Nothobranchius furzeri: one gene and its partners. The protein of the gene in region 2 purifies or fractionates together with the protein of the main gene of each other region. This does not show direct contact. Links are inferred from orthologs where the notes say so. Each region holds a gene or a part of one and is shown on either strand. Other genes may lie near its edges.

Region 1 (5,140 bases), on a different chromosome or scaffold from region 2:
TACATCAGGACTTACACAGAAGTTGTTAAATAAGCTAACTACTGTAACTAGAGGAAAAGCCCCTCAATGCACCCCTAACCTGCACATGTAAGTGCTGACATTCAACATGACCAAATAAAAACTATATCATCAAGAAACGAGTTGTGCTAATTAAGACAAAAACTGTTGCTGAGTGATATAAAAATACCTTTACTTACAAATTAAAATTGTAAAGCATAACGCCATTCATCAACGATGATCCATAACTACTCTCCTTTACGTCCGCTGTCCATGAAAACCAGCTCCAGCCCTTTGAATCAACCTTTTGCCTCGAGCAACCGAACCACACCCAACCAGCAAGCTAAAGAAGCCACTCTTCTAAAGATGATATTCCGTTTTGGCTTGTTTAACTCAAACAACGCAAGCGCCAGAAGAGCTACCTTGCTCCCCTGCTCTCTATTCTTAGCCATTTCCTTTAATAATAACCAGAGTATTGTCTGCTGGGTCCTTGAGAAGCACCTCCCTCGACCTTCAGGAAGAGATCCTGTTTACCTTACGGATGCTTCTGTCTCCAACTAGTGTCTCTCTGGAATACTCTGCCGTCACCTTTTGTACTTCTACCACTCTAAACCACACACACACACACACACACACACACACACACACACACACACACACACACACACACACACACACACACACATCAAAGATTGTACTTTGCTAAGAAACTTTTAAGGTCATGAGTTGTTCAGGAGTTTGATATTTTGCCAAAAGCCAAACTTAAAATGATTCCAGTTCCTTGAAACTTGTACGTACCTAAGATCATGCTCACAGCAGTGATATAGATGGATGGATTGTGCAGCAGGGCTGCGCAGTGGCTAGAGCTGTTGCCTTGCAGCAAGAAGGTTCTGGGTTCGCTTCCCGGCCTGGGATCTTTCTGCATGGAGTTTGCATGTTCTCCCTGTGCGTGCGTGGGTTCTCTCCGGGTACTCTGGCTTCCTCCCACAGTCCAAAAACATGACTGTTAGGTTGATTGGTCTGTCTATATTGTCCTTAGGTGTGTGTGTGTGTGTGTGTGTGTGTGCATGGTTGTTTGTCCTGTGTGTCTCTGTGTTGCCCTGCGATGGACTGGCTCTCGTCCAGGGTGTACCCCGCCTGATAGCCCGTTGACCGCTGGAGATAGGCACCGGCTTTAATATAACGACGCCTACTGCACATCACTGACAGCAGCAACTATTCGGGCTAAACCCACAGCAGAAAGTTAGAGCTAAGTGACATTTTATTAGGCAAACATACCCTGTCTACAAGAAGCCTCGACTTTTATTTTCTAACATAAACCCTATTCACCTGCAGGGCGGGACAGACAGTAAACATTATACTGTTACTGTTAGAAACACGTTAGCTAACGAGCTGTGAAGCTACTCAGCTACATGTTGACTGACGCGTATCTCTGCCGTCGGAAGTTTGTATGCTAGCTAACGCTGCGGCGCTCTTACATCCCAAACAAACAACAAAGCTGGTGTCGTTGACTTACTTTGGATTATTTGCTGAATTCGAATTCAATATCACTTAAAAGTTTAATACTCGTAAATAGTTTTTACCGATGCTGGTTAAGCTAATGTTTTGTTTCCCAGCACCTCCGAGACGCATACGTCATCAAGCCGCGCGGTGGCACTGTCGCGTTTAAGAAACGTAGAAGAAGACCCATTCTTCCTCTGCTGTTATAGGCACAGAGGTGTGAATGTTTTGATTAGGACTTTGCTGTTAGGCATGTTTCCACTTGGCTCTCTGCGGATTATATGTTCACCTCGGGCTGCGCGACACCCGCCCTGGACGAGGAAGCATGGAGCGTCTCTTCCAAACGCTGCCACGTTAAGTCCCAGCATGGCAGCCAGCTTCCACAGCAACAACCCTCCTTGGCACAACGGCGTGAACTTCAGAGAATTTGGAAAAGTAGAATTTTATTACACTAAAACGGTCTTTTCATCCAAAAGTTGCTGCACAAGTCAGATTAAACCGCACTGCTGGAACTGTAAGCGACTTCTAGAGAAAACGTCCACATTCTTCTGCAAGTCATGCCAGGCAATCCAACCCCCCGAGGAAGGAACCACCTACTTCAAAATAATGGACTGGTTAGTGTCTTACATCACTTCAAATCAGCCATTTCTAAATGAGCTGTCATTCAATTTCATTTCATTGTGTGCTGCCCCTTTTTGCAGTGACTACACTTTCACACTGGACACCCACAAGCTGCAGACAAGATACTTGCAGCTTCAGCGATCTCTTCATCCCGACAACTTCAGCCAGAAGTCTGTGGTAGGCAGGGGAAATGATGACCAGTTTGGTGAAATGGTTCACGCGTCAAACCAGGCTCTGTTATCGATTAGTTGGACTGTGGAGCTGCAGACAAAGCATGTATATCATATGATGCTGTTTTAAACCTTTGAGAGCAAAGTGGGCAGTGTAAATAAAGCGGTTTGTTTTGGTGAAACTGCCCAAGCCCACTCTGACAAGATGTGCCTACAGCAGTGATTCAGTTGCTGTACTGGTTATGGTGGTCCAGTGGTTAAGGTATTCAGCCCAGCACTCGTAACAACTGGACTACCAAGTCTGCTACGTGACGGTCGCCTAAGCCACATATCCTGTGCTGACCAGCTGAATTAGGTTTCATACCAGAGACTATCTTCCGGGAGAGGAGCAGGGCCTGATGATTAGTTTCCATTCATGTGCAGCTGAAACAGGAAAATGCATTAACACAACCCAAAACGGGTTTGTTTGTGTAACAGTATCACGGTCAAAAGCTCCAAAAAGTGGATTTTTCCTGATAAGGCGTTTCCAAGGTTACGTTGACTGTATTAGACAATACAGAGCAACATCAAAAGAGTCATCATAAACCAAACAACAACAACAAACACCCATTTATTTTCTACTGTACATTCTGTTCTTTGCTCGATGTAAAACCACTCCCAAAGGATCCATCCATCCACCCATTTTCTGAACCCGCTTTGCGACCCAATAAAAAAATGAAAAGAAGCAGGTCTGAAAACGACATCTGAGGCTTATAGATGGTTTACTAATATTGGGTAAAACTCAAGTATTTTTCAAAGCTTCAGATGTTTTAAGGTATTTCATTATGACTGAGCCTTTTAAAAGAGAAGGAACAAAGGAAGACCTTTGATTTACTTGGTGAACACGGCTGCAAAAAGAGCCCAAAGATCACACCTTCAGTTCAGCAAACCTTTAACGTTTTATAATGTTCTCATATCCATTACCCGTTTACACAGCATCAGGTTCATGAGCATGAGATTCAAGGCTTCATTGTCCTTTTGTACAAAGGAAACGTGCACAATAAAATTCATAATTTGTGTAATTGTAATGATTTAGACAGTTAAAGCCGAGTATGAAGATAAAAAAGATGCGTGAAAAATGCAATAACTGAAATTCCCACTTTTGGCCTTTTTTTCAAGGTTTCAGCTTTAAGTTTGAACTTTTGTTGTGTAAAAACAAAAGGAGGCATGGAGAATATTATAGGTAATCCACATTTAGGAGACAACATGGAAGAAAGAGGTTTTAACTGTTAATACCTGCATAACATCAAGCAGACATAATGTGAAACTGGACAGATTTCCAGTTGTCCGCATCACGCAGAAACACATTATGCACCAAAGAACAAGCACACTCGTTAGATAAGTCATTCATATCATTTTCTCAGCTGTAGATCTGAACAGAGAGGATCCTGATTTGTGTGAATGCATCCAGCGTCAGTGGAGCTTCTAGGCACATTAAGGTCTGCGCAGAGGTAGTTTGATTGTGTTTTATCTTTTTTAGTCGATGGGCCTACAAGCTGTAGGAACAAACCTCCAGGATGTTGTAATGGGAGCAGTTGCATAACGTTAGGAATTATTCTTGTTGCTGTATTGCTCATGCGCAAATATTCAGCAACAACAAAGGAAGACTCCGTCCACCGCCCTTCAGTAATTGCTGAATGAAGGCAGCTGTGGGATTTCCTATAAAATCCCAACATCAAAGACCGCAAAAAAAAGTCTCAGATTCAGCTCATTTACAGTATAGCGTGGTATAAAGTGTCTTTTAGGTTTTAGTTACTCGTGCTGCCCAAAATAAGCTTCGATCTCACTTATTTTTCTTCCCTGGGACATATTAATCTATAATTATATATTATACCTTACTATATTAATCTATAATTCTATATTATACCTTACTATATTAATCTATAATTCTATATTATACCTTACTATATTAATCTATATATTATACCTTACTATATCAATCTATAATTATATATTATACCTTACTATATTAATCTATAATTCTATATTATACCTTACTATATTAATCTATATATTATACCTTACTATATCAATCTATAATTATATATTATACCTTACTATATTAATCTATATATTATACCTTACTATATCAATCTATAATTATATATTATACCTTACTATATTAATCTATAATTCTATATTATACCTTACTATATTAATCTATAATTCTATATTATACCTTACTATATAAGCATTTAAATGAAAACTTGCAGAAAACAGGACTGATTTAAAATAACATAACCTTAAAACTAGAACTCCCAGAGAGTTGTCATTTGACTGGGTTGTTGTTATCTAGGATTCTTAAAAATGTGGCAGTTGCACGTGAATCGGTGGTGTGGTGACAATTCATTCAAAGATTCAAACATTTCAGGTTCCAAAATGTTTATTTTCATACTCCGGTCAAAAGATCAAAAATAACAAATGCATAAAAATCTACAGCTCAGAGCCTGAAAGATGATAGAGGGACAGAAAACGCATCGGAAAAGGGGAGACATGGGAGACAGAGGACATGAACAATTCCACATTTTTCAACATCCCATGCTAACCTTTTTTTTTATTTTCATTAAAAAAAAAATCTTAATTCTTCATTTTATCTTTATTTTTTTAATATATTTTACCTCTTTTATATTTGAATTGTTCTTTGAAGCGACTCGTGCATTTTTTCTTATTAAGTGCTATATAAAATCCTTTCTTGTCCTTTGTGTGCTTCTGTGAAGTCTTTGGATGGACAAGTTCAGCTGACCAGATTCAAGACAGGAGAGAGACTCGTAGAGCCACTGGGCCAGTCTGAAAGATTGACACCCAAGCACATT
Region 2 (4,371 bases):
AGAGATGCTAGATCTAACCTTATTTACTTTGTCCACAAAGAAAGACAAAGTTCTCACAGTCTTTAACAGAGTGGATGGAGGCTGTCGGAGAGGCAGGAGAGACAATGATGCTGATGGTGTTAAACAGCACCTTGGGGTTCCCTTTGCTCTGGGACACCAGGTTGGAAAAATAGGAAACCCTCGCGTCTCTGACTACAGAGTTAAAGGATGCCTGAAGGTCCTTTAGGTGCAGGGCTATCTTTTCATATCTTAATACTTTTTGTCATGATTGCCAGCTTTGTATTCTCTTTTTTTGTTGTTGTTGCTGTTGTTCATTATGCAAACCAGCTCTTTATCTACTTGTGTATTTTTCCTAGTGGTTTGCTTTGATGCCAAGATCAACTTTGACGATAACGCTGAGTTTCGTCAGAAGTCTGTGTTTGCCATGGATGACATGTCTGAGAGTGACCCCACAGAGATGGAGGCAGCCAAGTGGGACCTCAAATATATTGGAATGGACGGAAACATTGCCTGCTTCGGTATGACTGCAAAGCCCTTTAACGCACGCTCACCAACAAATAAATGCATCCTCCTCCTTAAGCATTCACCTTCTGGCATAGGACTTTAATGCCCCTCTTTAATTGCTTAAGTAAAAGCTCTGACACAGTTAAAACTTAGACAAACTAAAGGCTGCCCGGGTTCTCCTCCCGTCAATGTTACAAGCAGCTTTCTGAAGACTAGAATGAACACTGCCATAACCAATGCATTCTAAATAGCTATAATCCACCCAGAAAGTCTCTAGTGAGGCAGATTGTTAGCATTCTCATTAAAGGGCTCCTCTCCTGTCATAAATCAAAGCTTTTACAGTGTACAGCAGCACTAACAGGTGCTCTCGCTCCTTACCCCATAGCCTCATAAACACATTAGATGTCTGTTAGCGCTACTCCCCCTCCGTGCATACGCTCGCAGCTGATTCTGCATCCACCGCTCCCACACTCTTAGAGTAACAACAGCTTTTAAGACCCCGCAGCTTCTGTGAGAGCTCTGTAAGCCACCAAAGTGACAGCTGTTAAGGCAAATTTCCCTTTTATTGAGACCTCAGTCGGGGAGCTTGCCAGGACACAAGTTCAGCTTGGCTAAACTAAATGAGGTACGACGTATGACCCAGCAGGGTAGTAGTGCTGGCAGTAGGTTAAATGATACAGGCCACAAAAGCACAGTGCATTCTCATTTAGTCAAATCTTGTCTCTGAGGTTTATTGGTGGATTCCGTATCATTTTCTTTGATTTCTTTAACTGTTTTCCTTATTAGATGACTTGCAGTAGATCTAAATGTGGCTTTTTCTTAAACTATTTAAATCCAGTAATGTTTTAATTAACAATATTTGCAGTCATCACCCACTTATCTCAGTTTTATCTCAGATCTCTTAACCCTCTTCCTCTTGGAAAACATGTCCTTCATTCATTCAGTTGGTCATTTATTAAGGAATTCCATGGAGGAATACAAAATGATGGCCTTTTTGGGATGTTTGCTTTCCAAACAGTGAATGGAGCTGGTTTGGCCATGGCAACATGTGACATCATAGACCTGCATGGGGGAAAGCCGGCTAACTTCCTGGACCTTGGAGGTGGAGTCAAAGAGAGGCAGGTGTATGAGGCTTTTAAGCTGCTGACTGCTGACCCTAAGGTAGGTGCTGACTTCTGAAAAACATGTTGGCTTTTATTTTTTCTCAAGTTTTACCATAATAACAGATCACATAAGCCAAACTCATCCTTAGGCATTCCCTGAAAAATTTACATTGTGTCCATTGCTTGTTTGCATTTATTGGTGAGGGTTTCTTTTATAATTCACAAGTCTTTCTCTTTGTGGTTCTCTCCTTGCTTCTGAGACAGAAGCTCTCAGTAGAGAGAAGGTCCTTGGCATTTGGCTACTGTGTTGATATAAACCTTCATTTCTTAGACTAGCTCAATCATGATAAATGATAAATGGCCCGCACTTGTATAGCGCCTCTCAGAGAAAGGACTCCAAAGTGCTTTACACTACAGTGTATCATTCATCCATTCACACACACATTCACACACTGATGGTAATGAGCTACAATGTAGCCACAGCTGCCCTGGGGCACACTGACAGAGGCAAGGACGAATCATTACCGTGCAATGAATTTGTGTCTTATAGACTTATTTTGATGAAGATCGTCATGTGCATATTAACACACAACATAGTCAATCAAAGCCTGCGTCTGAGAGTCTTATCTCTGTGTGAGTGACAGCTGGGGGCGTTTTACAAATTATTCTACTCTATGTTCAGAAATCTAATAAATCCAGACTAAACAACCTGAGCCTTGTAATTATACTGCTGGGCTGATGGTGTGTTGACAGTCATCACATTTCTAATTCCCTCACTGCTGTCGTTCCCATATCCCTGCCCTGGTCTATGGTTGCCTTTGTGTTAGCATCTCGGGCAGGCCTTTAATACGTGAGAAAACAGAGAAAAGCTAACTGAAAGTTAACTTCTCTGTCCAAATTTTTATAAATGTATTCATCACTATAACAAGTGTCTTTTTTTGACTTGACTGTAAGTGATCTGCAGATTGTGTTTCATACTAATTACTAGCAGTGGTAGCTCATCTGATATTGTTTTCACCTCATGTGAACTTGTCAAAACACATCCTCAGAGAAACCTAATGTGTAACTCAATAGCTTTAAATAAAAGGCAGTCACAGAACTTGATGTGAAATGTTGACTTTTGTACTAATACCAGTATGTTAGATATGCTAGGTGTAAAATGAGAACTTTCCTTTGTGATCAGGGTATCTATATGTTCTGTTGTTTGTTGTCCCCATTCTCCCTCTGCACCTGTGAGTCGTGAGCACCAGACGCGCATTTTGCTCAAATATTTATAAGTCTCAATGTCGACACGCTGACTGGTGGTGGAGAAACTCGGGATTCTTTCAGAAGTTGATTTATGTCTTATCTTCACATTTGTCTTTGTAAGAAAATACAGTGGGTAAAAGTAGACAAAGTTTTAGTGTCTGATTCCTTCTGGTTTCGGTCTTTAGCAGCTCAAAGTGTACAAATGAAAATATATAATCTTGAAATTAGCTGTAATAGTATTTTTATGCAGTAACATGGAATCATGTTATTCATAATACACATATCTGCTGAAAACACTAAAAATCTCCTCACGTTAGGCCATACCATTACTTTATTAAGATGGCTTAAGTTTTTTTGAACTTTTTCAAACATTGCACTGTATGATCCAATTAACGTTGCATATTGTATGAAAACAGCAACTCCATGAAGTGATTGGATCCAATTTACTTCCAGTACTGGTCACTGGTGAGAAAGAAAGAACCAAAACAACACAAACTGCAGCGAGTTGACCGATAATGAGATAATGGCATTCCAATGTTAATTTGAGCTCTAAATGATCTTGAATATGTATATATTGTCTTAAACTAACCAAAGTAAAACTAACTCAGGGATTATATAAATGGCGCTCACAAGATTTTCATTGTTGGTCTCTTAAGCCAGGCATCAGCTTCTCATAAAATAGTCACTGGATAAAAATAGCCCAGCAAAGAGTTGGTGCCGTATCACAAAGTAGGTCAACAACAGAGATCTGGAGCTAAATTTGACCAGTTACTATAATAGCAGTGACCATGACACCCCCGTTGAAAATGTTTCTGACAAAACTCAATGAAAGATGTCTTTACTTGAATGAATACCAACACCATAAAATGTTGCAATGACTATCCAAACATACAATGTAAAAAAAAATTATATATATACATATATATATGTGTGTGTGTGTGTGTGTGTGTGTGTGTGTGTGTGTGTGTGTGTGTGTGTGTGTGTGTGTGTGTGTGTGTGTGTGTGTGTGTGTGTGTGTGTGTAGCTGTAAAAGAAAACCCACTGAGGAAACTTAAATTACCAATGTAGGCAGGCCAGTGTTGGACACCTTTGTAGATAAAATTGAAAAAAAAAATTGCTCACTTTAACACCATGGTTGGATATCTACCATTGAAGTCAAACATCCACTTTTTGATCGGTTTTGTCATTTAAATTACAACCAGAAAATTGGTAAGGAAAATTAATCTGGCAGCTAAAAAATTTAAATGCAATCAACAGGAGGGGGAAGAACTTCCGTCATCCCCCAAATGAAACCATTAGGGCTATTATAATACATTTTTAAATAGGATGGGTTGCAGAGACAAATTCAGACAGAATGAAAGAAACTCCATGGAGGAGAGGACCAGCCCTCCTGTTCCTCATTCTCTTCTCATCCTGGACCGTCTCCCCAAATCCAGATGGGGGAGTAAGCCTGCTGCCTGTCCCTCCTGCTGTTGTGTATGGAAATATCAGCCAGAAGCTCCTCCCTAACGGAAAA
Region 3 (4,806 bases), on a different chromosome or scaffold from region 2:
TTTTAAGTGTTAGTGCATCTTCAAGGTGCTGCCGTGATACACAAGGACTGCTTTGCAAATAATGCAGGTAAAATTTTTATTCGCCGAATCCAGGCTAAAATGCTCCAAAACTTTAGATGTTTTGGTACGCGTAGCTGCTGTGTTGGACGCCTTCATTTCTGTTGGTTTATGCTCAGCAGAGAAGCTATTGCGCATGTGCGACTCTCGGCAGAGATTGTAATGAAGTGAAATAACTCACTCGGTCGGAAAAAAACACGTCTGGCGACAACATCGACAATGACAGTCATTGTTGACTATTTCTATTGTCGATATTTGTCGACAACGTCGACAAATCGTTGCAGCCCTACTGCAGGGTACCCCCCCCCCCCCCCCCCCCCCAATCAGGCTGCTGCCCCTGCAACCCAACCTCGTATAAGCGGAGGAGAATGGATGGATGGACATGAGAGTAATTCAATAACTTGTTTTATTATGTCAAGTAGCAAACTAGTACAAACAGTGACCGGCAATCCCATTTAGGAAGTCACAGAGGTACAACGCAGTAGCGCGGGTTGATGACCAATTCCTCACTGTCCCAATTCTACAGTTTTTTGCTGACCTGTTTACTATGCACTCGAAGCCTGACATGCACTTCCACCAAGTGCACGCACGCACGCACGCACGCACAGATATGTTCAGCTCAGAGGTGAAAACGTCAATGGGATAAAAAAAAACATGTGTGACAATATTCACACTCTCCTAGGAAGCTTAGTAAGAAAGAAAATGACAGAAAAAAGGGTGGAGGGAGTTTTTGAGGCAGTAGGGGAAACCAGAGTTTCACAATAGGATTACAGTAAGATAAACTGATGTGAAGTAAGATTATAGTTGAGCCGTCAATACAAACCTGCTTTCCTGTGAAACCCTGGCAGATGACCTTGGTGTTCTTATTGATGTAGAGGTTCTTTCTTGTTCCAGTATAACAGTGTCTGACTCCACTGTGCTGCACTGAGAGGATTGAAAAGGAAAGGGAAAGCAACCGGATGTTAGATAAACACACAGGTTAAGTTTCAGACTCAAATCATTCTATTTCCATTTGTCGGAAACATTCTTTGTGCTGCATAAAGAAACAATAAGCTGCTACAAAAGATTTTCTGAAATTTCTACAAAATGTGAATTCCTGCTAAGTTCCCAGAAACACCAACTCTCATTATTTTTACAGTGATTATTAAAATGTTACCAGTTTTCTTTGAGGACAGTATTCTCTGTCTACTCAAATGCTCTGTAGTGTTTTGGCAGCAGATTCTTGTACAGTTGCTGAACAACACTATCAGCTTTTTCCAGACCTGACTGCCTTTTAAAATCTATAAAACAAAAAATGCAACTATGAATTAATAATGCAATATGAACATATTGAATTTATTGCTTTTGTTAAAGGTCAAAATATCAGACATTCATGTACAGCACACACATTCACTCTAGTTTTGCTCAGAATAACAGCTGCTTCTAACTTGATTTAGGATGAAGGTCACATTTTCGAATTCCACGCTGAGCCGTATTAAATCAGAAAAATTAAATAACTTGTGATAACTAATTAGATCACGGAGTGTGTAAAACTAGCCCAAAACAGCATTCAACAGACATAAAAACTAATGAGCCACATGCTTCAAACTAAAAATCAAAACATAAGTATTCACTGACTTGAGTGCACACAAATAAAGTACAGTCCAAGAAAAGCATGCCTTGATTGCTTGTTGATCATTATGTCAATCAACAGAAACGTAATCAACAAAACAAAAGAAAATAATTTAATTGCACCAGCTGATTATTGAGCAAAAGATCCAAACAATTTGCTGTTTACAGCTTTTGAAATGTCAAGTTGAGCTCTGGGAGTGCGTGGTTTCCTTTGCCTCCCCTCGCTTTCTGACATTTTGCTAACTAATTCACTGACCAATGTTGAAAAGATTTTTGCTGGAGCCTCAAAGTTTACTTTCAGAAGCCAATGTGACCACCAAAACAGTCACCACTTTTGCAGATTGCAACTCCTTGAACAGCACGTCACCCCAAATCAACTTTTTTTGCTGATAAACTATATAAATGAGTGTCTAATCGTGCTGTAGACACGCATAGACAATAATATGTCCCTTTACTGCATTTTAATTCAATTTTAAATCTTCTGCCTAAAGCTGTCAGTGTTACACCCTCTTCAGGTAAAAACTCTGCACTGCGTTTGAATTTAAATCTGCCATCGCTATCGGGTAAGAGGTGCACAGCATTTGTTGCATTTTTCAAACAGGAAGTGGGAGTGGAGTGAGACTCTGGTAGGAGGTGAATTGCTCTTTAAGAAAGCACTTTAAAACAAATACAAACAACAACGGAAGCTAATGTCACTATGATTAAAAGAAAATTCACTTAATACAGACTACAGATTAAATTACAGAATGTTTAAATGAAAAACTGCATGTTTAATGTCCAAATCAAAACAAGCAGAAATAAGATTGGCCACAAATATTTTAAAGCCAAACGGCATTTAATTTGAAATGATTGGCATTTTTACAAGCAAATATGTTAAATCGCGCAACAAATAAAAGTCAATACTCGATGACTGAGAAACCTTATGCAGGATCACCGAACAGAAAAATGTTGTTCTAATTCAAGCAATGAGACAAAGTAACATATTAGATGAGTAATGAACGAACTAATATTACAGCCCCTGCTGCAGCTCTTGAGACTGCACTTTGATCCTCATTCTGTGTTTTACTGACACCTGCAATTACTCAGTGTAAAGTTCAATCCCTCCACGTGAATAGGGAAGTATACTACAAAACAGGAGGTGTTTGTTAATAAAAACAAATCGTAACCTATGCAGAATTATTCAGCGAAAAGCGTTTTCAAATTCGGATCCATCAAAAACATTTTCCTGCAGAGTGGATGTTTTTCTTGTGCTAAATCATTAACTCTGACAAAGTTGACCCCTTCACAGCTATTAACAGACGCTTTAAAGTCCAGATAAATTATCAAAGGGGAAGTAGATTGTTTGTGGGACCTTCCTGAAAACTTAGCCTGCTAACTTGATCGCTAATAGTCAATGAGCTTACGATTATCATCATTTCATACAGCGCCGACAAATGTAGCTAGCTAGCATGGGAGCCAAGTGGCAGTAGTTTACTCTGTGGAAGGCTGTATGAGTCTTTATCAATAATGACCAGCTAAGAACCAAAAAATGTTCATATTTTACTGAGACTATGCTTGAACTGTTCATGACAATAAAATAGCAAAATGTTAAAATACTTACAAAGCAGCTTGGCAAATAACCTGCTGTGAGACATCTTCGGTCATTCACCAATGACACAAGCGGTTGGGGGCCTACAGTGGGAAGTTAGCTAACTTAAAATTTGCCTGAACAATTTAGAGATTCGATTAAACTTCAAAAAATATCGGTCAGTTGGAAAATTAGATGGGTCCCTTCCTTTTTGGAATTTTATTGCGTAAGAAACAGATAGCAGACAGACACCGACGTTTATTTTGTTACTTGTTTCTTTTGAGGCAGGCGCTGCAGCAAGTGTCTTCAGGATACAATGCACTCTGGGTAATGAAGTCCTTCACAAATCTAGTGAACAGAACAAGTGCCAGCACTAGATGGCGTCTGTATCTCATGAGGTAAAGGGATAGAAGTTGCAAATATATTTGAATATATGCATAAAAACATATTTTACACACATTACACATTTATCAGCAACTTCTGGAAAATGAAATAAAACTGACATTTTATGTCGATTTATTTTCTGTGGCAATGTTGCTGTTTCTTGAAACAACTCACACAATTAAAACATTACCATTTCACAAAATAAAATTTTTATAACAAATTCCACACTAACCAAATGTTAAGGTTATTGTAGTTACAGTCACCCATGTAAACTTGCGTTAAAACATTGTGTTGGACTTTTTAATAGCTATAAAAATCATCAGAAAAAACTTCAGAGATAGACAAAGCCCTTGTGTAAATAGAAAAAAAATTTGTTTAAAGCTGTTTAAAATTTGACAGCAGCAGAATATTAAGAAAATATGTTGTATTATAATTAAAATCTGACTTACTTTTTATTACTATAATTAAATTATTTAGGAACATGTTTCTTCAGTGGAACGTTTCCTGTTGAGACTTAAACTAGTGCACATGCATTACTGGTTAGATATGCACTAAACTGTATGATATCTCAATAATAATAATAATAATAATTATTATTATTATTATTATTATTATTATTATTATTATTATTATTATTATTATTATTGTAATAATAGTAATAATCCTATTAAATTATTTATGAACTACTTACTGGGTCAGAATTATTTGCTTCTTCTGATTCTTGATGCTCATGCTTGTCTGCCTTTGTCAGTTCATCATCTGCTGTTAGTGTTTCTACATTCTGCATAAATAACATAACCCTTGGTTATCTAATTTTCTTTAGTTCTTTCTCGGTTTAAATGTTTTGCAGCAAACATACAAATTGTTCTGTGTGACTTTTTAAAAAACTAATCAACAGGTTTTCATTGACAGGAAGGTTATGTAAACACAGTGGTGTCCCTTTTTAAAATGAACCTCTCAAAGACCTTCCTGTCTAATTCAAGTTGTCCAATCAGGAGCCACCAACTCTTCCGACGCTGATTGGTTGTGTGAAATCATCACGTGACATCTTTACGTGTATTCACAGAAAACAACTGCGCTCCGCTTCGTCAGCTTGCACCATCTTGCACGTAGACATGTGTGTGGTTTTACGTACCGCGCGTCTACGCTGGTAAAAGAGCGCAGTGACATAAACGAACCCCAGGAAC

Evidence for each region. Proteins that work in one complex are often made in the same cells at the same time.
Region 1: the proteins of suclg2 (region 2) and hscb purify together in Homo sapiens (affinity purification with mass spectrometry; 3 studies listed by BioGRID and IntAct, with this or other methods). This does not show direct contact. The link is inferred for Nothobranchius furzeri from reciprocal best matches to the Homo sapiens genes SUCLG2 and HSCB.
Region 3: the proteins of suclg2 (region 2) and suclg1 fractionate together in Homo sapiens (co-fractionation; 6 studies listed by BioGRID and IntAct, counting the BioPlex papers as one, with this or other methods). This does not show direct contact. The link is inferred for Nothobranchius furzeri from reciprocal best matches to the Homo sapiens genes SUCLG2 and SUCLG1.

What each region holds. Positions count from the first base shown.
Region 1 is NC_091750.1:33,251,861-33,257,000, forward strand, and holds the start of hscb (iron-sulfur cluster co-chaperone protein HscB), read left to right. Parts: upstream 1-1,744; 5' UTR 1,745-1,749; coding exon 1,750-2,111; intron 2,112-2,198; coding exon 2,199-2,295; intron 2,296-5,140.
Region 2 is NC_091743.1:57,261,085-57,265,455, reverse strand, and holds part of suclg2 (succinate--CoA ligase [GDP-forming] subunit beta, mitochondrial), read left to right. Parts: intron 1-356; coding exon 357-518; intron 519-1,522; coding exon 1,523-1,665; intron 1,666-4,371. UniProt on the Homo sapiens protein: GTP-specific succinyl-CoA synthetase functions in the citric acid cycle (TCA), coupling the hydrolysis of succinyl-CoA to the synthesis of GTP and thus represents the only step of substrate-level phosphorylation in the TCA.
Region 3 is NC_091746.1:79,666,812-79,671,617, forward strand, and holds the start of suclg1 (succinate--CoA ligase [ADP/GDP-forming] subunit alpha, mitochondrial), read right to left. Parts: upstream 3,397-4,806; 5' UTR 3,303-3,396; coding exon 3,269-3,302; intron 982-3,268; coding exon 881-981; intron 1-880. UniProt on the Homo sapiens protein: Succinyl-CoA synthetase functions in the citric acid cycle (TCA), coupling the hydrolysis of succinyl-CoA to the synthesis of either ATP or GTP and thus represents the only step of substrate-level phosphorylation in the TCA.